4 linked regions of the Alligator mississippiensis genome follow. The protein of the gene in region 1 interacts with the protein of each later gene in a pairwise test. Links are inferred from orthologs where the notes say so. Each region holds a gene or a part of one and is shown in the gene's direction. Other genes may lie near its edges. The genes, in order: NCK2, LCP2, EIF3H and HOXC4.

Region 1 (7,178 bases):
TGTCTGAGTCCTCAAATGGGGATTTAAGCGGAGCTTTACCTGGGAAACTTTCCAGCCTACACTGCGACCATCTACGGTGTAAGTAAACAATCTTGAATCAACCACTAAGCGTCCATGCCTAATTCTAGCGTGTCGCCTGCTTTCTCCGACCCAGCGTGTCTGGGCTGCTGGCCAAAGCCCGAGGCACGGAAAAAGGGCCCCGGATCGCTCCCGGCCCGCACACAACTTATTAAAGTTTTAAAGTAACTTCCTTCCTCCATAACTTTAATATTACTTGCTAAAGTCCCGCTATTTTGGCCTTCTCCACTCACCTAAACCCCCAATGATTAAAAAAAAAAAATTAGCGGGCTTCATGTGGGCAGAGGGGTCTGCTTCCAGAAATTATGGCAAAATTGGATCCCAAATAGTAACTTTTTAAAGAAGAAATTCTACTTTTAGGTTGAATTTTTCCATGCTTGGTTTCAGCCAGAATATATGGCTAAACTGCACATCTTGGATTGCATTAACATACACCAAATATGTACTTATGCACAAGGTCCTGTATTGTCTTCCAACTCTACTAAGTCATGTAATAACTATACTTTTTAACATTTTCTAATAACGTTTTTTCTTTTAAACAGGTATTGTGAGAAAATCCTTTCATCATTTTTAAGTTTCTAATAAAAAAATAAATAAAAATAATCTGTTGTCTTGATATCTTAACAAAGGAAAGCATTGCCTACGTCTGCAATACATGGTACTGCCTCCCCGAAGGCATTCCTGATTCCATACAGGTTTGCAAAGCAGAAAAACAGTGCACCTTTTGTTTTAAACTCAGGACATAGGTTGACAAAACGCACATACTGTGTCTCATGTGGAAAGCAAAACAACTCATTTTACTGAGGCACAGCTACACTCTGTTGTAATATGCATGTTGTGGGTTTTTTCTGAAGAAGTTTTTATTTAAGAAAAAAACAGTCAACTGACTTCATAAGCATTCCTGGCTTGCATACAGACTTATTTCTTCTTGTTAGGGGTGGCAAACATGGACAGATCTAGGATTTTGAAAAGGGGGGGATGCAGATGTGTGGCACATCATCACATATAGCACAACGCATTTTTCTCCAGTTAAAGAGAAACTAGATGCTTAACTGATATACTAGGGGGCTAGCACTATATTACTCAGTTTAAGATCAAAGCAAAAGCAAATATAATTATTGGTATGTGCACAAATTTGCTAGATTATATATACAGTTTAAAAATATATAAGAAGCATGGCAAAAAAAGAGTCTAAAGATAGAATCATAAAATCAGAGCAAATGAGGGTTGGAAGCAACCTCAGAAAGTCATCTAGTCCAACCCCCTGCTCAAAGCAGGACCATCCCCAGCTAGATGACCCCAGTCAAAGCTTACTATAGCCAGGCTTTAAAAACCTCCAAGGATGGAGCTTCCACAACATGTTTGTTCCAGTGCTGTACTTCCACCCTGGTGAGAGTTTTTCATAATATCTAACTTAAACTTCTCTTGCTGCAACTTGAAACCATTTCTCCTATTTCTGTCGTCTGCCACCACTGAGAGCAGTCTAGCTATATCCTCTTTGGAAACACCCTTCAGGTAGCTGAACACTGCTATTCAATCCCGTCTCAACCTTTTCTTCTCCAGACTAAATAAGCCCAGTTCCCTCAGCCTCTCCTCATAAGTCCTGTGCTCTAGCCCCCAAGCCATTCTCGTTGTCCTCCTCTAGACTCTCCAATTTGTCTGCATCCTTTCTGGAGGGGGGCGGGAGGGATGTGCAAAACTGGGCACAGTACTTGAGATGTGAGCTCACCAGTGCTAAATATTGAGAGAACTGGTTATTCCCTTCTCTTCTGGCAACACTCCTATTAATGGAGTCCAGTATGCTGTTAGCTTTCTTGGCAACAAGGGCACACTATTGGTTCATATCCAGCTTATTGTCCACTGTAACCCCCAGGTCCTTTTGTGTCACTAGTTCCGTGGTCATTTTAGTTCAATATGCATCTCTCACTCAAATTCATAACACAAACTCTCCCCATGCCTGAAGAAGGGTGTTTGTGCCCGAAAGCTTGGAAAGAATAATTTCCTCAACTATTTAGTTGGTTTAATAAAAGATACCATATCTACCCAAAGAACCTTTTCTGCCTAACACAAAATCTAGCCTTCTTCAGTGTCTGAACAGTGCCTCTGATACTTCACTGTCACAACCTGAGTTAATTTTATTACACCCGAGTTAAGTTTTTTAGCTAGAGCTAAAAACAGTCTGTAGGGTTGTGAAATGGAAGAGTGGCATTCCCTGGAATAGTTTAGAGACATCACAACATTGCAAAAGCAAGGATAGTTTGAAGAGTGGAACATCAGGACCATTGGAAAGGGGAGGGTGTCCTTAAAACCTGAAGGGGAGGAGAGATTTTTTTTTTGGAAAATTTTTTGTATTCCAAGTTGAATTAGCCAAATCAGTTCTGAATCCTCTCGATTAAGCAACATTCAGTTGTTCAAACACTATATGTGGGGCTATAACCCGCAAGTATCCTCCACCCCAGACTTTTCAGCCTGGGGCTTCAGATACTCCCAAATCCATTGGCAGGCATCCTACATGCAGGCCCAAGACTGGAGGGCTTAGGGTTTGCATGCCCCTGAGTCTCACTTGTCCTTAGCCAATGACCACAGGAGCATGGTTGGGAGGAGTCCCCCCATTTCCATAAAGTAAGTGTGTAGCCAAGATCCTCCCACTGGAAGCTGGGCACTGGGAAGCTAATTACAAGACTCTTAGAGGGCGTCCTGTCCTCTGCATTGGACAGGGGTGCACCCTTCACTACATAATGCCATTTAAATCCCTCTCCGTCTGGGCAACAGACCAGTGCAGCGGCTACACTTGATCTTAGCCCACAAGATGAACCATGAAGTCAGTTGGCTCCGTCTAGCAATGCTGCCATCATTGCCAGGCAGTTGGCTTTAAAATTTTGGATGCAGGGTATAGCTGCACCATGGCACCTGCACCCTTGGACCTGCCCTTGGCATGGGGGTGGGGGCGAGAGTAACCCTAGCAAACACGTTTAAATGCAAAGTCTGCAAGTCGACAAGGGAACAAGTCAGGAGAGGCCAAGCTGCTGGGATCTGACAATGCCAATCTGATGAGCAGGGATACTGGTTTTCTCCGATTTAAAAAAAAAAAAAAAATCCCCAATTTTCCAAGTATAAAAAGTAACCCAAAATCCACATGTTCCATGATTAAAATGAAACACCACTATATCTATTTATATATTAGTGCTGTTTCATATTTGGGGTTAGTAGATATATATGTATACATATATATATATTTGGGTCAATATATATAGTATATAGTTACTATATATACTATACTATAAATAGATATGGGTTACTATATATACTATATATAGAGTACATAGTTGGTTACTATAGGTACTATATAGTTACTATATATATATATATATATATATTTGGGTTACTATATATATAGTGATGTTTCATTTTAATCACAGAAAAATGTGGATTTGGGTTACTTTTTTTACTGCCAAAATTGGGGATTTCTTTTTAAATCAGAGAAAACCAGTCACCCCGCCCTCACCACACTCTCGCCCTCCCAGCCTATCCCGCCCGCTGAGGCGAGCACCGACAGAGCCCAGCTCGCCCCGCCCCACGGGACAGCCCCGCCCCCTCGCAGCCGGCTTTCCCCCTTAGGTCCCGGGCCGCCTTGAGGGGGTGGGGCTCCCGCGGCTGACGTCACGGGGAAGGCCTAATGGGGCAGCGCCGGGCATGTCTGGGTTGGGGAGGGAGCCCTCAGAACGGGCGTCCCTCCCTACCATGCCCCTTGCGTCTTTCTAAAGGCGGGGCTCCCGGGATGACGTCACACAGGAAGCGCCAATGGGTGGGTCTGGAGGGGGCGGTAATCTTTGGGCTATTTATAGCTCGGGCTGCAGTTGAATCGGACAAACGGTCTCGGCCCGTGTGTGAGAAACGCCGATTCAGGGGCTTTGTGCAGCCCTGTGTTGCTTCCCCCCCCCCCCCCGTAAAGGGGCGGGGCTTTACCCCCGAGCGCCCGGTTGTGGGGGGCGGGGCGTGTGCAAGGCCTAGGAGGGACTGGGCGTCTCCATGGCGGGGGCGGGGCGGGAGCCCGGGCGAGGGAGGGCGGGCTCAGAGGCCGCCCCCTTCCCCCGCCCCACGGATCCCGGCAGCGGCCGCGGCAGGAAGGGAAGAGGCAAGCACGGAGGAGGGGCCGATGCCGCCGCCGCGGGGCTGAGCGAGGCAGCAGCCGGGGCCTGGGGCAGCGCGTCCGTCCGGGAGGGGCGGGTGGGGGGCGGCCCCGCGGGAAGAAGGAGGCGGCCGCTGCTGCTGCATCCGCCGCCGACGGGAGGGGGAGCGGGACCCGCCGAGACAAAGAGCGGAGCCCGCCGGGGAGACGCCGCCGCCGCTGCCCCCAGGTAGGCGCGGCCTCGGCCCTTGCCCGCTGCCGGGACGGGAAGGGAAGGGAGGGGAGGGGAAAGGAGGCCCCGGCCGGGCTCACCTGCGGGTGTGGGGGGCGCTGCTCCCGCCACGTCCCGCCCGCGGCGGCCTGGGTCGGGGGTCACGGGCCGGGGCGGGGCGGAGCCGGGGCCTGGGAAACTTGGCGAGGGGAGGGGCCGCGGGGCGCAGGTGTGCGGGAGCGGAGCCCCCTCCTCCGCCTCTCGCGAGGGGTCTGCCCGCGTCCCTCGGGCCTCATCCGACTGGGACCGAGACGGGGGCTCCGTTGCTTTCCGCTCTGCCACCTCCTACCCTTCGGCTGCAGCCGTGTCCCGTTTCGGCCCCTGCTCCCTTCCTCGGGCCCGATCCCTGTGGCCTCTGCTCGCTTCAGCCTTAAGGACACGGGTGTCCCTTCAAGAGACCCGCGCTTTGGGCGGGACTCAGCTTCTTGTGCCCTCAGTGAAGCAGCTTTATAGGGTTTAACGTGTTCAGCATCTGCGGGCTTGTCACCTCCCCCGCTCCCCCCCCCCCTTTTTTTTTTTTAAGCTCTGTGCCATTGTCTTTGAGCAGTGGTGTGACCCCCGTACTTGTCACCGCTGTTCTTCAGCAGCCGTTCAGGAACAAACGCAGCTGTGTAGGCTCAGGTTTGGGTTAAAGACAGCTCAGGGTGCTTTTAACTTGGCAACAAAGGCAATTGGTCTTGAAGTGACTCAATTGTTTCGGAAAGGTAGCATCACGGCGGTCGAAACTAAAATGCTTGGGGTCGCCCCGAGCGGTGGTATCGGCAACAAGGGGGCTGGCACGTCAGCCTTTGTAGTTATTCCTCGCTGAACTTGAGCCAGGATGGCAGCTGCCGACAGCTCTGGGCAGGGATGGAGGGAGGTCCTGCTCTTATAAAGATTGGGATGGCGATTGGTAGTGTGTGTCTCGTGCAATACATAACAGTCGTGAGGGGTTTTGTTTGTTGTGGTTGCTGTTAACTGCATCTGAATCAGCTGCCTAGAAGTGACACACGTGTGCTCAATTTTTTAAGTGATCTCCAAGATTTCCCCTGCAAAAGAAATGCAAAGATTATGTAGTCATTTGTCTTCTGCCTGGTTTCCCTACCTTGGCCTCTGCCTAATAAGTGTCTGAAAAACTGAAATTCCAGCTCCCTCTTAGCTTTCTTTCTCTCTCTTTTGCAGGGGCTAGCTGTCTCTTCTGTTCCTCCCCTTCATTTCCTTTTAAAGTTTCCTGGCTGGTTGCATGGGAGGGGGAGGGGATCGCCTTTACCAGTTTATTCCTTTTATCATCTCTTGGCTTTTGCAGGGGAAGGATAAGGAACACTCTTATTTCTGCTTCTTCCCTCATTGGACACAGTGCTCCACCAGCAAAACAGCTTCTGTCCTAAAGAGACAGGCCCTGCAAAAGAGCTGGGTTGTTCTGTGGAAAGCTGCTTTTTGACTGCTATTAAACTTAAATTGAAGCTAAAGGCAATGCCCTTTTTTACCATGTTTTCAATGTGCAGAAATGATAGAGTCTGCAGCTTGTAGAATGAAATCTCTTCAAACCTCAAAAGTTAAGTAGGGTAGGCTTTGGTCACTTTTCATATGGAAGACCTCCAAAGAAATCTTGAGTTCATATGGGTAATTTAATAAGAGCCCCTGTTTGTTCTTTTAAATCAGTCAAAATGAAGTGTATGGTGATGTTATTGGGCACTGTGTTGTTTCTTCATGCAGCTGAAAACTTGATGACTTGGGTCTGTTTAAGAATCTGTAGTACTTGTATGTGTGGGTATTGATTGAGGTTTCCCAAGACAGACACCATTTTTGATCCTTGCACATTTATTTGGGGAACTCCTTCTTCCCATCTTCCTTTGTTTTGATTAGCTACATTAGTTGTCTTGTAAGAAATTAGACTGATTACATTTTAGTGGTGGGTGAAATAACAAATCCCTAATCAGCTCTAAATAATTATTATAAAAAAACCCTTGCTACATAAATGTAAGATTTAATTTTTAGTCCATAAATAATAGTACAAAGAATACATTTTAACATTTGAAAGCATGAAATAGAAAAGAAAACTTACTTTTTAGAAGAGATCAGTAAATTGTGTTCTACAAAAGAAATGAACATGCTTTCATTGTTAATAAAGCAGAGGTTGCTAAATGTTAAACCTAAGATTAAAGTACTTTTTGTGTAGTTGCCTGGTTCAGCAGGATGCAAAATTTTAAGATAGAGTAGTCTGTTACAAGTTCATACATTCAAGTGAGGAAGAAGACATCTTGTCTAGAGAGAATACCAAACCTGTTAATTAAAAACCATTCCAGGAGCAGTAACGTAGGGTGATCCAATTGCTTGTAGTAACATTTCAGAAATATTTATTTCGTATCATGAAAACTTCTGTTTAATTGGAGCTCGGAATTGTGACATTTGCCAGAATGTGTATACCCCCCCCAGTGACAGAAAAACTTCTGAGATTTCCTTTCTTTCTTTCCTTTTTTTTTTCAGTGGGTGGAAGTCAGTGTAAAAATAATAGAGTAGGTAAAATTCGAGAGGGCCACGTGTAAGAGAAAACATTGTAGGTTCTCCAAAGAATGCTGCTATATGCAGTAAATGTAAGGTTTCATTTGTTTTGTATTAATTTAATGTCTGGGTTGAAAAAACTTAAATGCACTTAAAATGGGGGGTGGGTGTTATAAGGTATTAATGGTTAGTACTATGTTCTAGCAAACAGCCAGGATA
Region 2 (6,956 bases), on another chromosome or scaffold:
AGAAGATGCTGCGTCCAGTTCTGGGTGCCACACTTCAAGAGGGATGTGGCTAGCATTGAGAGGGTCCAGAGGAGGGCCACTTGCATGGTAAAGGGGCAGCGGGTCAGGACCTATGAAGAGAGGCTAAAGGGCCTGAATCTATGCAGCCTCCACAAGAGAAGGCTGAGAGGGGATCTGGTGGCCATTTATAAACTCACCAGGGGGGACCAGCAGAAATTGGGTGAAGCCCTGTTTTCTCGGGCACCACTGGGGGTTACTAGGAATAATGGCCACAAACTGTTAGAGAGAAGGTTCATCAGGAGACATTACTTTATGGTTAGGGCTGCCAGGCTCTGGAACGGACTCCCAAGGGACGTGGTACAATCTCCTCCCCTGGGGATCTTCAAGAGGAGGCTAGACAGAGATTTGACTGGGGTGTTATGACCCCGGCACTCATTCCTGCCCAGGGCAGGGGGTCAGACCTGATGATCTGTTTAGGTCCCTTCCGACCCTAAGCACCATGATACTATGAAACTAAGGGTAAGCAAGCGATTACTAGACAGCGGAAAGAAACTGATAGATAAGAAAAGTTACAGGTCATCACAGAAGTAGAGTTCCATATAGTGATTATGAAGGGATAGCTAGAAATATGTAACAATATAAAGATATCCAACTGGTGTAAAAAACAAGGATTCTTTAGTGTGCGTTGTATTAATGTTTGTAACATAGAATAAAGGGGATTACATTAAGAAAGGGAAAATTATGACAAATTCAAAAAACCCTTCAAGTCAGATGCAACTGAGGATGGAACAGTGGAGGAAGAGCGGAGGAAGATCTGTTAGTTGGAGAGTATTAAAACTAAATTGGTCAAAAGAAAAAAGACAAAATGTCCAACTCTGTAGGGTTGTGGAGTTTTACTTCATGTTAATTTAAAGATTTATGAGCTTCATGTGTGCAATGAGACAGCTCTGGAAAAATGAAAATGTAAACCAATGTGTTGTGGAAAAAGTCATTATGAAAGCAGTTAGACATGAGTTCCATCTTCCAATAAGGTCCATCCACGATGTAATCTTCTGCCTTCCTCAGACAGGAAAGAGAGGGTGGAAAGTGTTAATGCTTTTTTAACCCTGAAGAGCGTGGGCAGTATGGGCTTCCTTTTTGAACTGTCAGCTCCAAAACACTAAGAATCTCAAGTACTATTTAAACCAGTGTAGCTATAACCAATGGGCAATTTCATTGTTAGCCTATATTTGTAAGTACTTGAAGAGTTACCCTCTAAAGTGAAGTTCATTATCAGTGGAGGTTTTTCAGATAAAAAGCTATAAAATTATCTCAGTCTAGTAACCAGTAATAGTTACTATGAGTAAATTGGTTACGTTCCCACTCCAAGAAGAATACTACTACTGGTGAAATATCCAGTAGTAACCAATTAACACAGTGGTGATGTGATTATCAGGAGCTGATACTAGGGATGGGAGGGTGGGGTTGCGGGGACAAGGTTTCTGGCAGGGAACTGAAACAATGCCAAATTAAACTGTAGTGGTGAATTATCCGACAGGCTAATTAACTAGAGTTTACTGTATTTCTCACTTTTAAGGGACTGCAGGTCTTCACAAAAGGGTGACATTCTGAGATGCAAAATTCATGCAACATAGCATACTGTGAAAGGGATGTTATCTTGTACTCTCCTCTCCTGAAGACTTCACATGCCTTTTTCCTTCTTTTTTGAAGGTTCTTCACTTCTCTTTGCTTGTGGACATACAAAATTTGAGTGGGTTTGGGGATGTGACTGATCAACTCTATTTCCCCTTCTACTGCTTTCTACTTGCCCCATCTCATTCATCCACCCACTATTGTTTCCACAGCTATCGCTCGGACTACCTCTCTCAAGGATCAGTCTATGCTCCTTCCTACCAGTTAAGCCCTCCAAGCTGCCTTAGCCACCAACCCCTCTGGGCCTGCTTAGATCCTTCAACCTTTCCTTCTCTTCCCAGTACTTAAATCCACTCTTTAAATCTCCTCTTTAATCCTTATTTTGGTTACAATATCCTGCCATCATGGAACTCAACCTGGTCTACTCACCTTTTCACTAAGGTCCAAAGATAAAGACGAGTCAGATAGGTGAGGTGAAAGGGGAAGAATTATTATTGTGAGGAACAACAGTGACTACAGAGAAATAGGGAGAGAAGACAACAAAGTAGCTATGGAAATGGTGAGAGGGCAGAAATTATGAGTAATTAACTGAAATCTAAAGCTGGAAATAAAGGAAAAAATATATCTTTTATTTCAGTTACCACGTGACTGAATACCCTGTCCCACATTGTAATGGTGGGCAGTTGACACACACACACACACAGACACACTGTTCACACTGGGCGGGCAACCTTTTTATCTGAGCAAGTGACCAACATTTTCCACTGATAAAATACAACAGGAAATTGCATGATAAACAATTACATTAATGCAAAAATTTGGATGAAAATTTCAACAGGAAATTCAATATTATGTTTCCCCAGCAGCCTGTATTTGTCTATGATGTCGTATGCATTTATCAAAACGAACAAACCACTATTCAAAGAAAAAAACCCAGACATCTTTACACAGATCAGGTGTAACATTTTTTCAAAATGTGTGAAGTGTGCAGGTATACATGACAGAGGTATACTGTATAGCAAACACTATTCCTACTCAGGCCCATAAACTACCAGACCTCATCCCTGTCACTAAACCATGACTGGATAATACTTCTACAGCACCTTGTATCAGCATGACTTTGGGAGGAAATTCTGTTTTGGGGCAAGGGGAAGGGAGAATAAAGTAAATTTTCTCAAAGTATCTTTTTAATGGAATGTGTTTAAAGCCGCTAGGAAGTTTGGATTATCAGTCTCAGTAAGGAAGCTGAAAGTGGGAAGTGTAGATGAGTTAAAGGAACACAGTAGGATCAATTTATCATAACTCTGGGGTCTGTCACATAACCCCTATCATCTCATGCAGAGGTATAATGGGACAGTTTTGCACCCTGGGCAGCAGTAGCATACAAGGCAGAAGCTACAACTGAGCTGCTAGCAATATAACAACCTAGAGAGCAGCAGCAATGGCTGCTGTTTTTGCACACTCCTGAAGTCAATACCTCAGGTTGGTTCCCTGGTTGCCCGCTTTTAATTAGGCTACCAATCTCAGAATTCAATACTTTATTGCTCAGGCTCAGGGTGGTGACCACTAGGCCTGCATATAAAATGCAGGAGAAATCATTACAATTTAATTTTAAAAATTCATTTAAACCTGGAACTTCTAAATATTTCCTCCGGTTCTAATTATGACTTTATATCACTGAGGTACTGTTTATGTATTGACTCCATAACTATATCTGAGCATCTATCCTCATGCACAAATGTAACACTAACTTGGTACTGTACCCTTGTGTATAAAAAATACCATACGCTCAGACTATGTACATATGATTGTAGAAAATACATGGAACTATTTCAGAGACTACTGCTAAGAGCTTGCATAACTGCATGAGCCAGAGGAATTTGTTTTATGTGTTATTTTACATGTTATTATTTTTACACGTTAGAAAGGTAAGGGAGTATTTATTAATATAAGTAGTTAATCTGTCATCTGGGGTGACAAGAAATGCAAAAGAAAGTTCCTTTATGTAGGTATTTCCTCATTTTTTTAGGTATCGCATGGCTACATTTGCACTTAAGCAAATTTAACTCAAAAGCAACAGTCTTTTTCAGGAATCCTCATGTATATACATGCACACAATACAGAGTCTAGGTACCAGTATATTTATATGGGTATCTCATGTAAATACACAACCCTTCCCACTTAAATTCAGATGAAAAGGGCTCATACAGATTTCACTTACATGCAGCAGGCAGAATATTTTAAACATGTTATTGCGCTTCCTTGTTTACTTATTTAGATTCACATATAAAGGAAGTGGTAAGCCTGACTAGCTGACAAGTTTTCTGAGAAGAGACCATTTTGTACTGAGAGGAAGCAGGGGCTCTCTTGAATGCTCTTACACCATAATTCAGAAATAAGAAGTCAGTATTTAACAAAAGAAGTTCTGAGCATGTATTAGGCAAGGAGATTATTAAACTTGCTGGAAGTGGTCTCAGACAAGAAGTCTATGCTGTTTCATCAATACTCTTGGCATGAAAATTCTGTAACCTCCTAGGAAATTAAAACTAAAATGGATTTGCGAAACATTCCTTATCGCTCAGATGTGGCTGCTTGGAACCCAGATGAACTAGCAGAGTACTTTAAAACAGTAAGTTTCACTGTGTTTTGCCCTCGAATAGTTGAAAAACAAATGACTGTAACATACTTTAAGCATGTGTGTGTGTGTACATACACACACACACATATATATAGTATGTATATGTATAGATATAGATATAGAACCCTGGGGAATCCTTCTTGATACCTCCTCTCAACTAGACATAACAAGTCTATAGATATAGATATAACCTGTCTATATATATAGATATATATGTATTACATGTTATGTCTAGTTGAGAGGAGGTATCAAGAAGGATTCCCCAGGGTTCTATCCTGGGTCTGGTATTGTTTAATATCTTCATTAATGATTTGGATGACAGGACTGAGTGTGTGCTTAGCAAATTTATGGATAACACCAAGCTTTGGGTGGAATTTCAGACACTCTGGAGGGCAAAGCTAGAATCCAGGATGACCTGGACAGACTGGAGAAATGGTACAGAATCAGTCAGATGAAACTGAACAGGGACAAGTGCAATGTCCTACACTTGGGACAGAATAACTGCATGCACAAATACAGACTTCATTACTGTAGGCTTCAGTAGTGCAGAGGCTTCAGTACTGCAGAGAAAGACCTGTGGATTACAGTAGACCATAAACTGAATATAAAGCAACAATGCGCCCTCATTACAAAACAATCCAACAGTATCCTGGGTTTGTATAAACTGGAGTATCACTTGGAAATCAAGAAAAGGGATTCTTCCACTCTATTCAGCAATAGTGAGAGGATTTACATAAATTAGTGTGCCTAGTTTTGGGCCCTGCACTTCAAGAAGGATATGGACAGTTTGAAAAGAGTCCAGCGCAGGGCAACAAAATTGATCGGGGCCTTGACAGACCAGACTTATGAGAAAAGATTGAAAAAAGTAGGGTTACTTAGCCTGAAGAAGAGGAGCCTGAGGTGGGATGGGGTGGGAGGGAGGGGGTGAAATTTGATCACAGTCATGGAATATCAGAAGGGCGATTATAGAGAGGATGGATGTAAATGGGCTCTTCTCTGGGGCTGTAGGGGACAGGACTTGGAGCAATGACCCCAAATTGCAGCAGGGGAAATTTAAGTTGGAGATTAGGAGGAACTTTTTGAGTACAGGGGTGTTCAGGCTTTGGAACAGGCTACCTAGAGAAGTCATGGAATCTCCATCCTTGGAAATGTCAAAAGCAGGTTAGACAGACACTTGGCAGAGATAGTTTAGTCAGAGATGATCCTATTTTGTGCAGGAGTCTAGCCTAGATTACCTTATGAGGTCCTTTCCAGCTCTACTTTCCTATGAGCCTACTCAGATGCACAAACGCACATTATTTAAAACAAGAGCACAATCTGTGGCACAAATAATTTCAAATGATCTTTTAGAAATCAAAACATGCCCCATAAAAAGTCATTGTATTCTATATTGATCTCATGAAGACTTTTTTAAATTCTGAAAATATATATGTTAAATTAATAGCAAAGAAACTAATAGCTTCTAAAGGAAGCAAGAAAAAAATGCTTTGTAAGGATGTCTCATTTAGTTTGGTGCTGTAAAAATTATACGCTTAACACAGTAACTCTAGTTTTAAAGGTAGAAAAGTGTTAAATGTTGGTCATATATGGTGTCTCCAGTAAGCTAATTCCTGTATCTAAATATCTTCAGTTTTAGGACCCACTATAAACTTGAGTGCATTATAAAACTGTGTTATAGCCTAGAGCTCAATTTAAAGCTATAGTACCTTGTGTTTGCTGGACTATAGGGAAAACCTGACAGGAACCCTGACACAAAGTGTTTCAGTATTTGTACTGCGATTTTTGGAAGCCTACAGAGTGTTAGATTCTTAAATTCACTAAGGATTTGCTACTCAGATCACTTATGCTCCTTTAAAAAGCCAGCCTGGAAATCCACATACCTAGCCTTTTAATGACCATAAAATGAAGCCTGCTTCTTTGTCAGGCAACACTCCCAATTAGTTCCGTAAACTTCCTTGGGACTTTCCATATGAATAAGTACTGCTCTGTCTAAGCAAGGGCGGCAGACTATTTGCCCTAGAGATTTATTCCAGTGCTTTCAGTAGATATTAATTCCCAAAGACAAATATATTTTGCTGTCTCACAACAGAACAATTCATAACTATATTTCCGCTGCTTTTTTATAAAAAAATGGAAGAAAAATTCTTGGAAGTTTTGATTCAAATAAAAAGGAGGGCAGCTTCAGGATCCAAGTGGACCTGTTCCTCACCCCAGTTCCCCCACGTATCATGTTCTCCACACTATTTCCTTAAGAGAGAGGGCCTTCCTCAGAATTCCTAGGCAGAATTTTTTAGCTACAGTAGCATTTCCTGTAATGCACTAGGCCAAAGGAGTGGAAGCCTCAAACCCCTCATTGCTTATGACCTCTTTCAGCTTAGCACTCTATAAAAAAAATTATAACATAATGGGCCAAATTCACTGCTGCTTTACATTCTGTGGAATCTTCCTGGCACTGGTGAGTTTGAACAGGGATCATATGAGTAGAGAATTTGGTTCATTCATGTTAAAAATTATATCTTTTCTCTTCCACGTATTTATTTCTCTATAGCTCTACAACGTTCCCTAATTTTTAATATTCAGCAGAAATATCCATCTGTGCTTCCATTTTAGCTAAGAATTACATTTACAAAAAAAATGAAATAAAAATCCAAAAACTTCCATCTGAAATTATAAACCAGATTGACCT
Region 3 (7,629 bases), on another chromosome or scaffold:
CCGCATCTACATGAGACACTGACTGCACAGTTGTTACTGCGCAGCCATTTAGCACTTGTATGAACAGCTTTTTTGTGATGCTGACTGCGCAGTAGCCCGAAACTACTGCACAGCAGCATTGTCGCAGTTTTTGCCGCACAGTGCTACTGCACTGTAGTCACGGGCTACTGCGTAGTCAGCATCTCATGTAGACACAACCACTGATTAGGAAATGGTAAAATCTGTGACTGTAAAGGAGGAGGAGGAAAAAAGAACAGCAGAATAAAAGCAAGAAACTTCCAACTAAATCCAGAGAACTGATTGGCAAGATCAGGGGTGCTAAGTCTAAGGGAAAAAGAGTGCAGGAAACTTGATTGTTCCTTAAAGAGACAATATTAAGAGAATGAAGACACATGCTCTCCCTATCTACAGGAAGGACAGGAAGTGTAGCAATAAGCCTGCTTACCCAAACTGTCAGTTCTTCAATAAGAGCTGAGGCTTTAAAAGAAGACTTATACAAAAGAGAACTTTGGCCATGCTAACAGGATGAATATAAGAGTCTGAACATGTAGGGGCAAAATCCGAAATGCCAAGGCTAGCAATGGATGTAGAATTAAAAAAAAAAGCATTCCTTAAATGCATTATAAGTAGGAAGGAGATCAAGAAAAGTGAGTTTCTCTTAATGGGAAGGAGAAGCTAATAATGGATGATATGGAGAAGGCTGAAGTGTTTAATGCCTTTTTAACTTCAGTCTTCACAAAAAAAGGTCAACTATTCAATGACAAACACAGCATCTAAAACAGTGGAACAGGTACTCAGCCTAGTGTGGGACAGAATAAATTATAGATTATTTACATAAGTGAGATGTTTTCAATTAGCAGGGCCTGATGAGATTCATCCTAGACTACTCAAGAAATTGGCTGAAGTAATTGCAGAGGAGACTGAAATGTGCATGTATGAAGCTCATACAAAAGGGAAAAAGGATGACCCACAAAATTAGCAACCAGTCAGTCTCATTTTGATACCTGGAAAGATACGGGAACATATTATCACACAACTGATTGTAATAATCTAGAACAGGGGTGGGGTAGCCAACTTGCAGAATAACTGCCACAAGTGGCACTGGCCGCTTGTGTGTGTGGCACATGGCAGATGGGGAGGGGAGGGGGACAGGCAGCACAACAGTTGATAGGGGAAGAAGTAGAAGACAGTACAGCAAATCAGACAGAGAGCAGAGAATAGAAAGCAGAGAAGCAAATTGGGCAGAGGAAAGGATCAGAGTGGCACTCAGGGAGGGTGTGAAGCTAATTTGTGGTGTGCCTGCCAAAAAGGTTGCCCCCACTAGAGGTCCACCGATATATTAGTCTCGTATGGTAGCGGCCCCGATAAAAGGAAAATTGACATTATCGGCAATCAACTTTTCTTGGCTGATGTGGATGATAATGTTGCCAATAAATGCTGCATGCACGTGCACAGCCACAGCAAGCCCAGCAGTGTAGAGAGCAGCATCCAGTTGGTAAGTCTTTTGTGGGGGAAGGGGCATGGGGGAAGAAAAGGGTGTGGTGGGGGGCAGACCAAGGCCTCTGTGGTGAGGGAGTGGGGCTGGGGCAGGCGCTGCCCAGCCAGAATGGACCAAAGCATGGGACGGAGCTGGGGAGTGTGTGGCTTCTGCTGCTGCATGCACCACAGGAAGGCATGGGGGACATGTGCCCCCTGGATCTGTGCACAGGGCAAGGGCGAGCTGCCACTGTGGGCTGGGGCTGCAGGCAGCGCCAGGCTCTTCCTGGCTGGGGAGGCTGGGCTGGGGTTGCGCTCGGAGCGGGCGGTGGTGGCGCTGGAAGGGGGGCTACAGCCACCCCAAAATTCACTGTAGCTCCTTTCACAGTGCCACTGTCACTCACCCCAAGCACAGCCTGGCCCAGCCCCCATGCTGGGAAGAGCCCCAGCTCCAGCCCACAGTGACAGCCCACCTTCACCCTGCGCACAGATCCAGGGAGGCACATGTCCCCCATGTCCTCCCGGGGTGCGTGCAGCAGCAGAAACAGCCGTCTCCCTCCCCCATGGATGACCTGCAGCTCCATCCTGCACCCCACCCTGGTTATGCAGTGCCTGTCCCTGTCCCAGCACCATCCCCAGCCCTACTCCATCCCTCTTCACAGGGGCCTTGATCTGCCAGCTCCACACCCCTTCCCTCTCTCCTTCCCCAACAGACTTAACAGCAGGATGCTGCTCTCCATGCTGCTGAGCTGAGTATTGGCTGATATGGCTCATTAAAAATCAGCCATTGGTATCAGCCCCCAAAATCTCTACCAGTGCACCCCTAGCCCTCACTGATCTAAGGGATAGCAGGCTGATAGGAAGCAGCCAATATAGGTTTCATAAGAACTAATCACGGCTAATCAACCTGATTTCCTCCCATGACAGTAGTGCTCACTGTTTTGGCAGGGGGCAACAGGCACTGAGGGGGGTTATTTGGATGCACATCTTGCTGGGGTTATTTGACCCCAGCAGTCTTTCCTGCCCAAAGCAAGGCAGGGGCTGGACCCGATGATCTCATCAAGTCCCTACCAGCCCTAAACTTCTGTGAATCTGTGGGGGTACAGGCATCATGGGGGAAGGGGAGGGGGTGAAGCCACATGCCTCCCCACCCGCCCCCCTGCTGCTGCAGGTTAGACATACATTTGTCTGGGATGGTTTAGAGGTCTTTTCCATCCTTAGAGGTCTTTGAGACCCAGGTAGACAAAGCCTTGTCTGAAATGATGTAGTTAGGGATGGTCCTGCTTTGAGCAGGGGGTTGGACTAGGTGACCTGCTGAGGTCCCTTCCAACCCAATTTTCTATGCCCATTTTCACAGCCCATTTTTCTATGAGTTATACCTGTATATGCCTAACATACCATAACATCAAGCAGAGAACGAGATAACTGTCCCACAAAAATGTGATGTCACCAGTCAGCGGATCCATCAGTGAGTAGTGAAAACTATCTTCCTACCTGCATTTTTGGCTTGAGAGTGTTTCTCTGAAGTCTTTACTTTGTGGGCATTTATATGCTTGATTCCAGATTAAGAACACCTTTGACTGCAAACTACACAACATTTAAAAACACCTGTAAGTTAAATCATGTTGAATAACTGTATACATTATGTTAAACAAAATGGCAAAGTTTTCATCTCCTTATGTTGCAATTAGGTGCCCTTTGGCATTGCCTTTTAGCAAGGACCAAAGCCAGGATGGAGGATCTTTCTGATGCTCTTTTGAACACTGTATTTGTTGGGGAAAGAGAACATATACATTTTTGGAACGGCCAGACCCTGTGCAGAAGAGGGGGAGCAGTCTTAGGAGGGACGTCTTGGGTGGGGAGAGGGAGAGATCTCTTGGTGTGAGGCAGGGGAATGGATGGGCTTGGGAGCGTCTTGAGTGGAAGAAGATTTCTTATACCTAGGGTGACCACATGGGGCAATGTGAAATTTGGGACAGTGTGAAATCCGGGACACTGCACCCCCACCCTCCGCCTCTCTGCTGCTGCAGGCAGAGGCAGGGCACCATTGGTATTAGTATTCAGACAGCTAAGGAGTCAATGACCCATTTATGACCCACAGTTTTTTTCACAGGTGTTAACACCCTCCTTTTTAATGGTCATTTCACAATTAAGCTAACCTTATTAGTGCAGGGGTTCTCAAACTTTGTCATACTGTGACACTGAGTGCCAGATGGTGGCGGAAGTGGATGGGGAGCTTGTGTGCGGCAGCTGCTGCCGCCATCCAGCACTCTGCACCGCCACCGTGCACCATGTCCCTGCACTGCTGCGTGTACCCTTGGGAAGTTTGCAAGCAACCCCCTTTTAAGTTGCTCTCAACCCCTCAGGGGGTTGCAACCCAGTTTGAGAACCCCTGCATTCGGGCAATTTTGCTGCTAGGGCTTCCTATTTCACAGCTTCTACTGCTCCAGCTTGTGCTCTGCACACAAGACGCTCAGCTGGCCAGGTTTGGCCTCTGGAAGGGAGAGTTCTGGATTTCAATCTGGGACCTACAATCACCCTACTTATACCTAAATGCAGATGGGATGGGGTTGGGGGTTTTCTCTGAAGGGTCAGGAGCAGGGAAGTAGGAGCAGGTGTCATGGAGCGCGTTCCCTAGATGCGGGGCATCTACTGTTGCTTGTCAGTTACTGTAAGAGCCTCTGTGCTTTTCTGGATGCAGCAGGCTGGATACAAAAGCAATAATAATATAATAAGGGTGATGAAAGCCAAAGATGTCTTAGGGCCATCTCTTTTATTAGATTAACCATGTAGTAAGGATAAAGTTAGGCGTTGGAAGGCCAGGCGCTATGATGTGATGGAGATGCGTGGGTCACCTCCTAGCACACCCCTGTCTAAGTTTGGAGGAACTGACTTTGGCTGCGCAGGTACCCCACGCACCCCGCCCAGCGGAGCCCTTCCCCGCTACACGGGGCAACAGCGCAGCTCCCCTCCACGTACTGCAGGCTGCGAGGCAGCAACTCCTGCGTATGCGCTACCAGCGCTCACACGAGCACGAAGCTTCCGTACGCATGCGCTCTTTGTCCCCGCTCCCAGGTTTCCGCCCGGAGTGCATTTGGCGGCGTCACATCCGGCCGCCCCACCCCGCTTCCGGTGCTTCCCTTTTCACTTTCCGGCCGGCTCAGGAGGATGGCGTCTCGCAAAGAAGCGGCTGCCGCCGGCTCCGCGGTCGCCAAAGTCAAGAGTAAGGCGGCGCCGGGGGACTCGGCCGTCAAGCAAGTGCAGATCGACGGGCTGGTGCGTGCGTGGGGCTGGGGCGGGGCGGGCCTGAGCTGGCGGCGGCCGTGTGGGAGCCTCGTGGGCCAGGCGGGGGCGGCTCCGCGCGCGCTGCGGCCTCCCAGGCCCCGCGGCCGGGCGCGACGCTGCCCCCAGGGCTGGGCTTTGCGAGGGGGCCCCGCGCGCATCCCCGCGCGTGCTCTGCTCGCTCCGCCCTCCCCCTGCCGACCCCGCGCCACGAGGGGGAGGCGTGTGCGACGGGCGAGAAGCAAGATCGCGGCACGGCCCCTTTTTAAGCTTACGATGCCGTTTGGCTGCAACAAGCTCTCGGTGCCGTCCCAGGACCCGGCACTCGTGGCCCGTGGGAGCCGGTCGCTCGGCCGCAGGTTGGACATAGCGTGGCCTTTTGTGGTACAGCGGGGGAAAAACAGACGTAGGAAACGAATCGTAGAAAGTGAGGGTGGGAAGGGATGTCAGGAGGTCACATCTGGTCCAGCCCCTGGTCAGAGCAGGACCAGCCCCAACTAGATCATCCCAGCCAAGGCTTTGTCTAGCTGGGTTTTGAAAGCCTCTGAGGATGGAGAGTCTGCTACCTCTGTGGGTAACCTGTGCCAGTGTTTTACTGCCCGCCTAGTGAGAGAGTTTTTCCTAATATCTAACCTAAACTTCCCTTGCTGCAACTTGAGACCATTGCTCCTTGTTCTGTCATCTGCCACCACTGAGTACAGTCCAGCTCCATCCTCTTTGGAACCAGCCTTCAGGTAATTAAAGGCTGCTACCAAATCCCCTCTGTCTTCTCTTCTCCAGACTAAATAAACCCAGTTCCCTCAGCCTCTCCTCAGGTCATGTCCCCCAGCCCCTCACCATTTTTGTTGCCGTCCGCTGGACTCTTTCTAATTTGTCCACAAGCTTGCTGTAGTGGGGTGCCCAAAACTGAACACAGGACTCCAGGTGTGGCCTCACCAGTGCTGAATAGGGGGGAAGAATCATGTCCCTTTACCTACTGGCAAGACACCTACCAATGCAGCCCAGTAAGCCATTAGCCTGCTTTGCAACAAGGGCACACTGCTGGCTCATATTCAGCTTGTTGTCCACTGTAACCCCAAGGTCCTTTTCCGTTGCCCAGCCAGTCAGCCCCCAGCCTGTACTGGTGCTTGGGATTATTCGGTCCTACAGGCAGCACTTTTCACTTCTCATTTGCATTTATCCAGCTTTTCTAAGTAGCCCCTAACCTAGGGGTGGCCAATTATTTGGGCTAGGAGGCCACTTAAGGACTTTTGGTCAGCTGTTTTGGGAAGGGGGTGAGAACTGCTGGTGCTGACCCAGAGTTTTGGTGAGCTCTTGTGGGGGGGGAGGGGAGGAGGGAGGAAGGGGTGATAACCCAGTCTTGACACCTTGTCACACTACCTAGCATGGTGAGGGCGGGAAAATGACAATTGATCTATCTGGCCCCAGGCCTGTTGGCTCTGCACCCACAGTCAGGGATGCTGGACAGAGTGGGTGGGCAGGGTCTTCATGGAGACTAGCCTGGGACCCTACAGGTGGGATGTGCTCAGCTGGACGGATGGGATGGGGTTGCAAGTGAATTGGGGAACAGGACAGGTGGGAGGAGCCAGGGCCAGGATCATGGGGTGGTGACAGTGTGAGGCCAGGGTCTGGGGCAGAGCCACAATCCCTGCAATGGGTGCCAGTTCTGTGGGCAGCGGCTGTCCCTTGCCTGCAGACCTGCTGCCCATTGCATGGATGTGACGATAGTGGATTACAGCTTGGCCCCAGCCCCGCACTGTCACCGTATCGCAATCTTGGCCCTGCTGCTACCTGCTTGTTCTGCTCCCTGATGCTGCTTCCTGTTCTCCCATGGCCCTATCCCATCCACCTGGCTGAGCGTGTCCTGTGTGCATGTCCTCTCTGCTTCATCTTCCCCCAGTGGTGGGTGTAAGGCAGATGGGCCAGGGTGCCTGGCCAGTGGGGCCAGGTCCAGCAGTGGCAGCCAGAGGGAGCTGCCATTGTGGGGGCTGCCAGGAAGCCTAGTCCTGCTGCTGTGCCATCTGACCCCATGGATTACAGCTCCTGGTGTGCTTGACAGCTGTGTGTGGGGATAGGGTAGGCTGTGCTCTGCGGTAGGTGGCACCTCTGTGCCTGGGGCTGGCAGGACTATCTGCACATGCCATAACCTGGGCTGCTCCCCAACCTTGAACTGGGGGGGACCAAGGGGCCAGATAAAATCATATTGTTGGTTGGATGCAGCCTGTAGGCCATATTTGGCCACCCTTACCCATACCTGTTCTCTCGCCACTGTTTGCTGCTCACATTCTCCCCAGACTGTGCTGCCAAGTACAGTAGTCCGGGAGCTGACTTTGCCTGTGAAGACTGAGGTAAAAAAGGCATTAACTACTTCAGTCTTTTCTGTATCATCTGCCACTAGGTTGCCTCTCCCATTCAGTAAGGGAGATTTGTGCCATCAACATTTTTTTTCCCTGTGGCCACAGATGTTTCTTGGTGCCATGGCTACTGCTTTCTCAAATTTCAAAAGAATAAAAACTGAGTAGTTAAGTGCATTGCCTTCAGCTTGGCTAAGCAGAATCAGAAATGTGAGAGGCAGATTCAGGTATTAAAACCGCTTTTGGAAAAGGAGTATTTTCTTGGGATGCCCAGCAATGTTTCTGGGGTTTGCCAAATCGGATCATGGACCACTCTTCACCTTGGTTCTACAGCGTGCTGAAAACATAAGGTGATGGCTCTTGCATGGAGCTGTGGGCACAGTCATATTACTAGCGCAGATCATTCATGTGGAGCACTGGTTCTCAACCTTGTTAGACTTGAGACACCCCTTGGAAAATGCCAGCTCTTAATTTTTGCTCTTTTATCACGACAGAGATATAATAGAAGAATTTTTTC
Region 4 (6,988 bases), on another chromosome or scaffold:
TGCCTTCAGTTCTCTTGGAGAGTTGGAATAACTAAGACATTGCAAATATTTCCCTTGCGCTCGTCTTCCTTTCGCTCAGCGATGGAGATGGGGCTGTGAAATCTTTCCATCTCTTGTTTTCCCCTCTCCCTGCTCTAAATGGACTACATCATATAGGGCAAGAGGAAATAAAAGTAGACGGGTTGTTTACCCAGATAGGAGAGATAAGCAAGCACAAAATTCCTAGGATGCATTGATTCACTGCACAGCGTCTGGGGTTTGCGTGGGACATTCCTAACCCAAAACACGAAGCTTAAAGGATTTAAATGCCTCGGTGATGGGCAAGGCTGGACACTGCTCAGATCCCCAGCAAGAGGCAGGGCTCGGCTGCGGGTTTCATCCCGTATTAAAGCATGACTTCAATGTGGACCCGTGCGCTTACCCAGCCTCCCCTCTCCCCTCTGGTGCCTGTGAATGTGCGACACGGCGTGTGTGGGGCTAGACCCGTGTGCCAGGGTGTCTGCAGGTTCAAGAGAGCACCACACACAAGGTGTGTGTCCATGCGGGGCGAAGGAGTGCGTGCTTGCTTGCAGGGTGTGCGGGCAAGGGAAGTGTGTCTGTCTGTCTGCAGGCATCTGATCCCTGCATCCCAGCATGCACACACCTCCGAGCCCTGGAACCGCACACAACACACGCAACACGGCTGTACCGCACACCCAACCGTTTCTAGTCGGCTGCTTATTGTAGGGCAAACAGACGTGCTTATCAACTCGTTTTCTCCTTGGAAGAGCTACAGAAATAAAATAAGGCTCGCTATAGCCTTCGCTCTTGCCAAAGTAGCCACTTAAGGTAGGCTGGTTTATTAGCCATAAGCCAGACGGGTTTATTTGAACTGAGGTATCATCTTCAGGGTTATTCTTCTGGCATTTACAACCCGGTAGTTATCTTCCCCTTGCTACAGTGCAAGGCGTCTGTGCACCTCTGCATCAATGTTAGCAGGCAAATTCAAGCGAAGTCCCTCAGGGCTATTTCTAAACTCCTGCCTTTTGGGGAGGGGAAAAAAAAAAGATTTTGATGAAATCTTACATAGGAAATACCCAGATTATTATTATTATTATTTTTGTTCACGGGGATTAGGCAAGAGCGAGAACATATCTCATTTAAAAATAAAATAAAATACAAGAAAACGTTGGCGGCGTTCTCTATCCATCATATTTAAACCCCCGGCTCTAAGTAGTTTGATAGGCACAAATAATACAGAACGACATTTATCTGCGCAAGGGTCTGAAGGGAAATTATTGAAACTACAAGTCAAGCAGTTCCCCCCCTCTTTTTTTTTTTTGGCTAACTGTTTATGGGCTGCAGTCAACACAACAGAGTCGCATCTTCAGCTGCCATCCAGTGATTTTCTCAATCATCCCATCATTTCGAGAGAGAAAAAAGAGGGGGGGGGAGGAGGAAAAAAAAGAGCCATTTTATGAGGGGAAAGTAATTTCAAAGAAGATGCGCTCCTCACAAAGTGGCTTATACCGAAATGATCATCGCTTCGACATTACTGAAATTAGACTCATCTAGCCGCCTGCAGTAAGAAATATCATCCTATTCCACGCTTTTTATTAGCCAATCAAATTTCCTTCGGATCTCCATTTGTGATTTGTGAAAAATATAATTCCGCGAAAAGCTGATCTGCAGCTTATTGCTCATTTTGCCTTAATTTATTATTCTAATCACAGCCGCCGCTCCACGAGAATGCATCCATTAGGCTCAAAAATTCGTTTAGATTTTATACCGGAATATGGGCGCAGATTATATTGGAGAGGCAACGAATTTCTCAGGCGTTATGTGTATATGCATCTTTTGCCAACACCCAACACAGCTCGGAAGGGGGTGGGTACAAATAAGAAAGTTTGAGAAACTTGGGGAAGGGGAGATTTTTTTTCCCCACCTGGCTTCAATTTTTTTCCTCACTTCACCCCATTTCTCCCCCAAAATTGGCTTTTCCTTGAAGAGAAAGGGGAGGGGGGGGGATAACAAGAAAAGAGACCTTTTCTAATATTTCATTCCAGCCCAAGAAGTGGAAAAGCAGCGTTGCATGGGGCTGAGATCCTGTAGAAAGGTCATATTAAAATAATGGGCCGAAAGACTGCTTTGGAAACGGGTCGGGCAGGTTGTGGGGTTGTTGGGGATTTTTTTTTTTCCTCGTTGTTTTTTTTTTTTTCCTTGCAAAAGATAAAATGTCCTGTTCATTTTATGGATTCTTTTCTCTCGTCTGCTGCTTTGGAAAATGGCAAGTCCATTGTGTTCCGGGCGCTGTTGTGCCGCTGGCTCCCCGCTCGTAACTTTTAACTACCTGTTATAAAATTTATTGGTGGTTTGTAAAGTGAATAAAGTAATTTCCCTTCCATCCGGTTGTATTGCAACCTTTGTGTTGTTTGGACAGACAGACACACACGCGTGCGCCCTCCCCCCCACCCCCCGCAACCCCCCTGCCCTTAGCTGAAAATAAGCAAATAAAGGCAAAGCGATGAGAAATACCTGCAGAATTGACCTTTCTCTATAATACGAGAGCAGAGGGGGGAGATATGTGTAGAGCCCTTGAGTCCTACTATTGCGACAAAAATGCGGTGATTTTTTTTTGTGGTAGTCTTATCTCTCCAATCTTTGTCCTGGCTCTTGTGTCTAGCCCTGAAGCGAGTTGAGATGGTCAAAATATTTCAGGGGTGGGGGTGGAGGGGGGGGAAGGAGGAAGAAGTGCAACATTTAATCTGAACTAGCAGATCTAACTAAGAATGCTGGGCGATTTGCAAAGGTTATGGGACTCGTCACATGCTCCTAGCAGGCCTCTACATGACAACATTTTTTTGCCCTAGCACCAAATGTCTGTTTTTCTTATATCGGCTTAACCCCCCAAATCCAAATATCAAAATAAAAAAAAATAATTCCTGATACAAAATATGCACCCCCCCCAAAAAAAAAAACCCACCACCAACCTTGTGCGATAAAGGGATGAGGGCTCACAGACAAGTTCTAGCTAGGATTTCCAGACACGCCGTGATTAAAAATAAAAGAATCCCACCACGCCATCCTATAATTGGGAAGGAATTAATTAATTACACATACACAAAAAAAATACCGCCATAAAAATGAAGGCAAAAAAAATTAAAGGAAATTGCTGGGGAAATACGGCATTAGCTGCTCCCCTTTGGAGGTTAATAATATGATCCTTCCCATATCTTTAGTGTTGAGTTAGAGGGCTCGGTTATGTAGCACAGAGGATATGGAGGAAAACCCGAAGGAAATTGGGGCTCAGCCCCGACATCCAAGCGGACACACCCTTGGTGGAAATTCAAGAAAACCCACAACCCAACTCAGTGGTCTTTATTCCTAGCTCTGCTTGAATTTAACAGGGGTTGATCATTGTATGATGATGATTATTATTATTTCAATTCCCCGCAATATCCCTATTTCCCCTCTTTGCCTCCTTCGTGCTCATTCCACTAAGACACTTAATTAATTAACCAAATGAACACGGCGCATAAGGCCAAATCTCCCTGCCTTAAAAACCCAACAACAACAACAAGTCCGGCTGATCCTTCAACAAGGCAGCTCAGACGTGACGAGGCAACCTCGCTCTTTGAAAATCCCCGATATTAATTTGTTCCCTTTAATGAAACTGGGCGGGGGGGGGGGGACGGGAGAGAGAAGGCTTTTTAAAAAAAAATACTAATATTAAAAAAGAATTGTATAAACATGGCGACAGAGGAGAGCATTTGCACTCGTCACAAAAATGCAATGCATTCCTGGTTGTTTGCAGAAAATTTACAGCTAAGCAATAAAAGTTTACGACTGAATCACAAGTTGGATTGGCCACAGGAAGTCATGTGGACTCCATCCATGAACGTGAACTTTTTATTGTGGTTTCTCTTATGACTCTTTCGCAGTAGTCCTTCCTTTAACAGTCCAAGCAGTGCCAGGGGTAGGATGGTATTTTTCCCCCCTCATTATTAGCATCATTATTATTATTTTTTTTGAGATCTAGATTTTTTTTTTCCTCTCCTTGGGGTTGGAAGTGTTGGTTGCCTTGGGCATTTTGGGATATAATGTGTTTACTGCTGCGTCTCGTGCTTGCTTCCTTTTCTCAACCCCTAGGGGCAAAACGCAGTATATTTCCTTTGGACGATGCAGTGAACAGGGGCAGAAGGAGTTGTAAATACCGTTTTTTTTTCCCTTTTTTTTTCTTTTTTAGGGAAAAAAACCCCATGCTATGCCTTGCTAAGCTCCCCCCATCCCCTGTCCAAGCAGAGAAGAAACTGTTTCGCTTTGGTTTCCATCTTTCTTATTTTTTTATATGATTATTATGATTATTTTTCCTTTTTTTTAAAAAAAAATGTTTCTGTGGAGCTGAGCTGCAGCGTCAGTGGATCAGAAAGAGAGAGAGAGAGAAAGAGAGAGAGAGAGACAGAGAGAGACAGGGAGAGGGGGAGACAGGCAACGTTGGTAAGTGTTCCCTTATTGGCTAAAATGTGTAACTAATGATCCATAGCAATGGGTGTTAAAGATAATGATGCATCGGGGTTTTTTTTTTTTGCGAGCGAGGGGTGTAGCTTGGATATGGTAGACTTGTGCTGGGCTTCGGCACCAATGCAGTTAATTCGGGGGAAGAGGGGCTTGCTCCTGCTGATGTCACATTTGTGCCGATCTGGTTTGCTGGAGACAGCCAGGGATGCTTGCTGCAGCCTGCTTTTGCATTGACAATGGTGCAGTGTTCACGGGGGTGGCGGGGGGTGTGTGTGGGGAGAGGGGAGGGGGTGTTGCTGGAAGGCCTCAGATGCATCCGATGGACCATCTACTAGTTAAAATTAAAGGGGGGGGGGATTGCAAGATGGGTGTTGGGTGGGGGAGGGAATAAGAGGGGGGTGGGCAGAGAGGGCAGGGGCCAGCTGTGGATTGCAAGCCCTAAGCACCAGAGCCAATACCTCCATATAGTTCTCTATATAAAAGAATCCCCAAACTTTTCATAAGAGGAAATCAGGGGGTGTCTACTGAGCACACATGCGCAGTGCGGGCCGCGAGCCGCATCCAGGAAGCGTCCTAGCAGCCGCCGTCTCACTCAAGCGGTTTGTGCCATTTTTAATGAGCAATTATGGCGGGGGGGGGGGGATGTGTGAGTGTGTGTGCGTGCAACAAACACGGCCTTGCACGCCCAGCCCCCACTGCCTCCAGCACATGATTTAAGGCCAGGTTCGTCTGCCTGGTTTTATTCCGAATTTCTTCCCACCCCCCACCACCAAAAAAAAAAAAAAAAAGAAGAAGAAAACACCCATCCTGTGCTCACCCTCCCATCCGTACCTCCACTCACACCCGGCGGCTGGGCTGGGAGCTTCCCACGAACCCGGTTCTTCTCCCCCTATTGTGCTCCTGGCCCTCGGCAGGAGATTGCAAACCTTTTCTCCCGGCTCTGCTCCCTATGGACACAAGTTGCAGGCATCTTTTTACATGAGGGTGCTCCTGCTAATTCCACCTGGGTTTCCCATGATGTTGACCCCCTAGAGTTTTATTCAGCATCTATTTCCCCCTTGTCTTTGAATACCTTTTCCTCCTGAAGGACCTTTAGTGAGTGCAATGGAAAGGAGACTTTCTTCTTACACACGCACAGACACATCTCTATCTATCTATCTATCTATCTATCTATCTATCTATCTATCTATCTATCTATCTATCTATCTATCTATCTATCTATCTCTAGATACCTACCATCTCTAGCTCTCTATATCAGCTCTCCATATATCTCTAGCTCTCTATATATCAGGCTGTCCACACTACTATAGAAAGCGATCCACGTATTGGTTTCACTTAAGGGATGCGCTGTTCTAGCTTAATTTTCTTTTCTCTTCTTTTTTTCCTCCTTCTTATCCCCTCGGCATGCCGGCTTTTCGTGAACTGTGTGTCTGTGTTTGCAGTCGAAACTCCTGTGGCTGGAAGTCACAGTATAAAATGGTGGGCATATAAAATGATACCATAAAGTAAAAGATAAAACAGACGTTGTTGTGACTATGGGCTGGGAAGGGGGGAAGGGTGGCAAAAAAAATTGCTGGTCCCTGCCTTCTTATAAATTATTGAGGGGTCCCAGCTATATGAATGCAATATATGGATTGATCGCCTTATCGAAAGGACCTCTCAAGCTGATTGAGTTCAGGCTTAAACCGTGCAACGGAGGGATACTTTCTGCTTTCCTGGGTTACAAAAAAATACGGCCTCTTCTGTCCTTTAATTTCCAGTGGGAACTCGCCAGAGGTTATCTAAAGTGATCTGAGTGGTTTAGAAGTTCCCTGGGACTGATTCTTAATTTGATTTCTCTGTGTGGCGTGGAAAAAAATAACTATTAAAAAAAAAAAAAAAGGAGAGGAAGAACTTGCTAGGGTTCAAAAAGGGACATGTGCTTCTATCCTTTGTCTTAAAGGTTGTTTTGAGAAATATTGTTAAATCCACCTGATCATTCCTGCCGTGTATTATTATTATTGTTGTTATTATTACTATTATTACTACTACTACCATCGTCATCACTATCATTATTGTTACTACTACTATTATTATTGCTGCTATTCATGTTAGTATTATGTTATTATTATTATTACTGCTATTACTATTATGATTCGAAAAATTGCCGGCGTCTTCGGTTCATGCAAGAGCCATGCGACCTGGTAAATTGAAAACAGTTGCTTTCTAATGAATGGGGGAAAAAAAAGAGGCGAGTTTTATTTGGCGTCTTTCGAGGGGGCAATTTCTGGCAGGCTCATTCCTGAGATGATTTTATTTCTTTAAAGGAGAGCACGAGTGTATCCTGAGCTGGGGGTGGGAAGCCAGGGAGACAACTCTGCCTTGGTTTTGTTTCTGCAAACACGATGGGAGACTGTTTGCTGCGATCTCTGAAGTCGTAAAGACAGTTTATGGGCAAACAATGAGCGTTTATTGGAACCACATGATTACAGAAATAGGATCCTTGAGTGCT

What was found.
Region 2: the proteins of NCK2 (region 1) and LCP2 interact in binary tests that used the Homo sapiens proteins (3 or more experiments, as listed by UniProt). The two-hybrid records come from large-scale screens. The link is inferred for Alligator mississippiensis from reciprocal best matches to the Homo sapiens genes NCK2 and LCP2.
Region 3: the proteins of NCK2 (region 1) and EIF3H interact in binary tests that used the Homo sapiens proteins (3 or more experiments, as listed by UniProt). The two-hybrid records come from large-scale screens. The link is inferred for Alligator mississippiensis from reciprocal best matches to the Homo sapiens genes NCK2 and EIF3H.
Region 4: the proteins of NCK2 (region 1) and HOXC4 interact in binary tests that used the Homo sapiens proteins (3 or more experiments, as listed by UniProt). The two-hybrid records come from large-scale screens. The link is inferred for Alligator mississippiensis from reciprocal best matches to the Homo sapiens genes NCK2 and HOXC4.

What each region holds. Positions count from the first base shown.
Region 1 is NC_081824.1:347,833,838-347,841,015, forward strand, and holds the start of NCK2 (cytoplasmic protein NCK2), read left to right. Parts: upstream 1-4,155; 5' UTR 4,156-4,436; intron 4,437-7,178. UniProt on the Homo sapiens protein: Adapter protein which associates with tyrosine-phosphorylated growth factor receptors or their cellular substrates. Maintains low levels of EIF2S1 phosphorylation by promoting its dephosphorylation by PP1.
Region 2 is NC_081832.1:49,569,545-49,576,500, forward strand, and holds the start of LCP2 (lymphocyte cytosolic protein 2), read left to right. Parts: upstream 1-3,955; 5' UTR 3,956-4,183; coding exon 4,184-4,261; intron 4,262-6,956. UniProt on the Homo sapiens protein: Adapter protein primarily involved in signaling pathways within T-cells, as well as other immune cells such as platelets, mast cells, and natural killer (NK) cells.
Region 3 is NC_081826.1:24,947,263-24,954,891, forward strand, and holds the start of EIF3H (eukaryotic translation initiation factor 3 subunit H), read left to right. Parts: upstream 1-4,612; 5' UTR 4,613-4,644; coding exon 4,645-4,752; intron 4,753-7,629.
Region 4 is NC_081838.1:8,231,754-8,238,741, reverse strand, and holds the start of HOXC4 (homeobox protein Hox-C4), read left to right. Parts: upstream 1-3,971; 5' UTR 3,972-4,476; intron 4,477-6,923; exon of another isoform or gene 6,924-6,988. UniProt on the Homo sapiens protein: Sequence-specific transcription factor which is part of a developmental regulatory system that provides cells with specific positional identities on the anterior-posterior axis.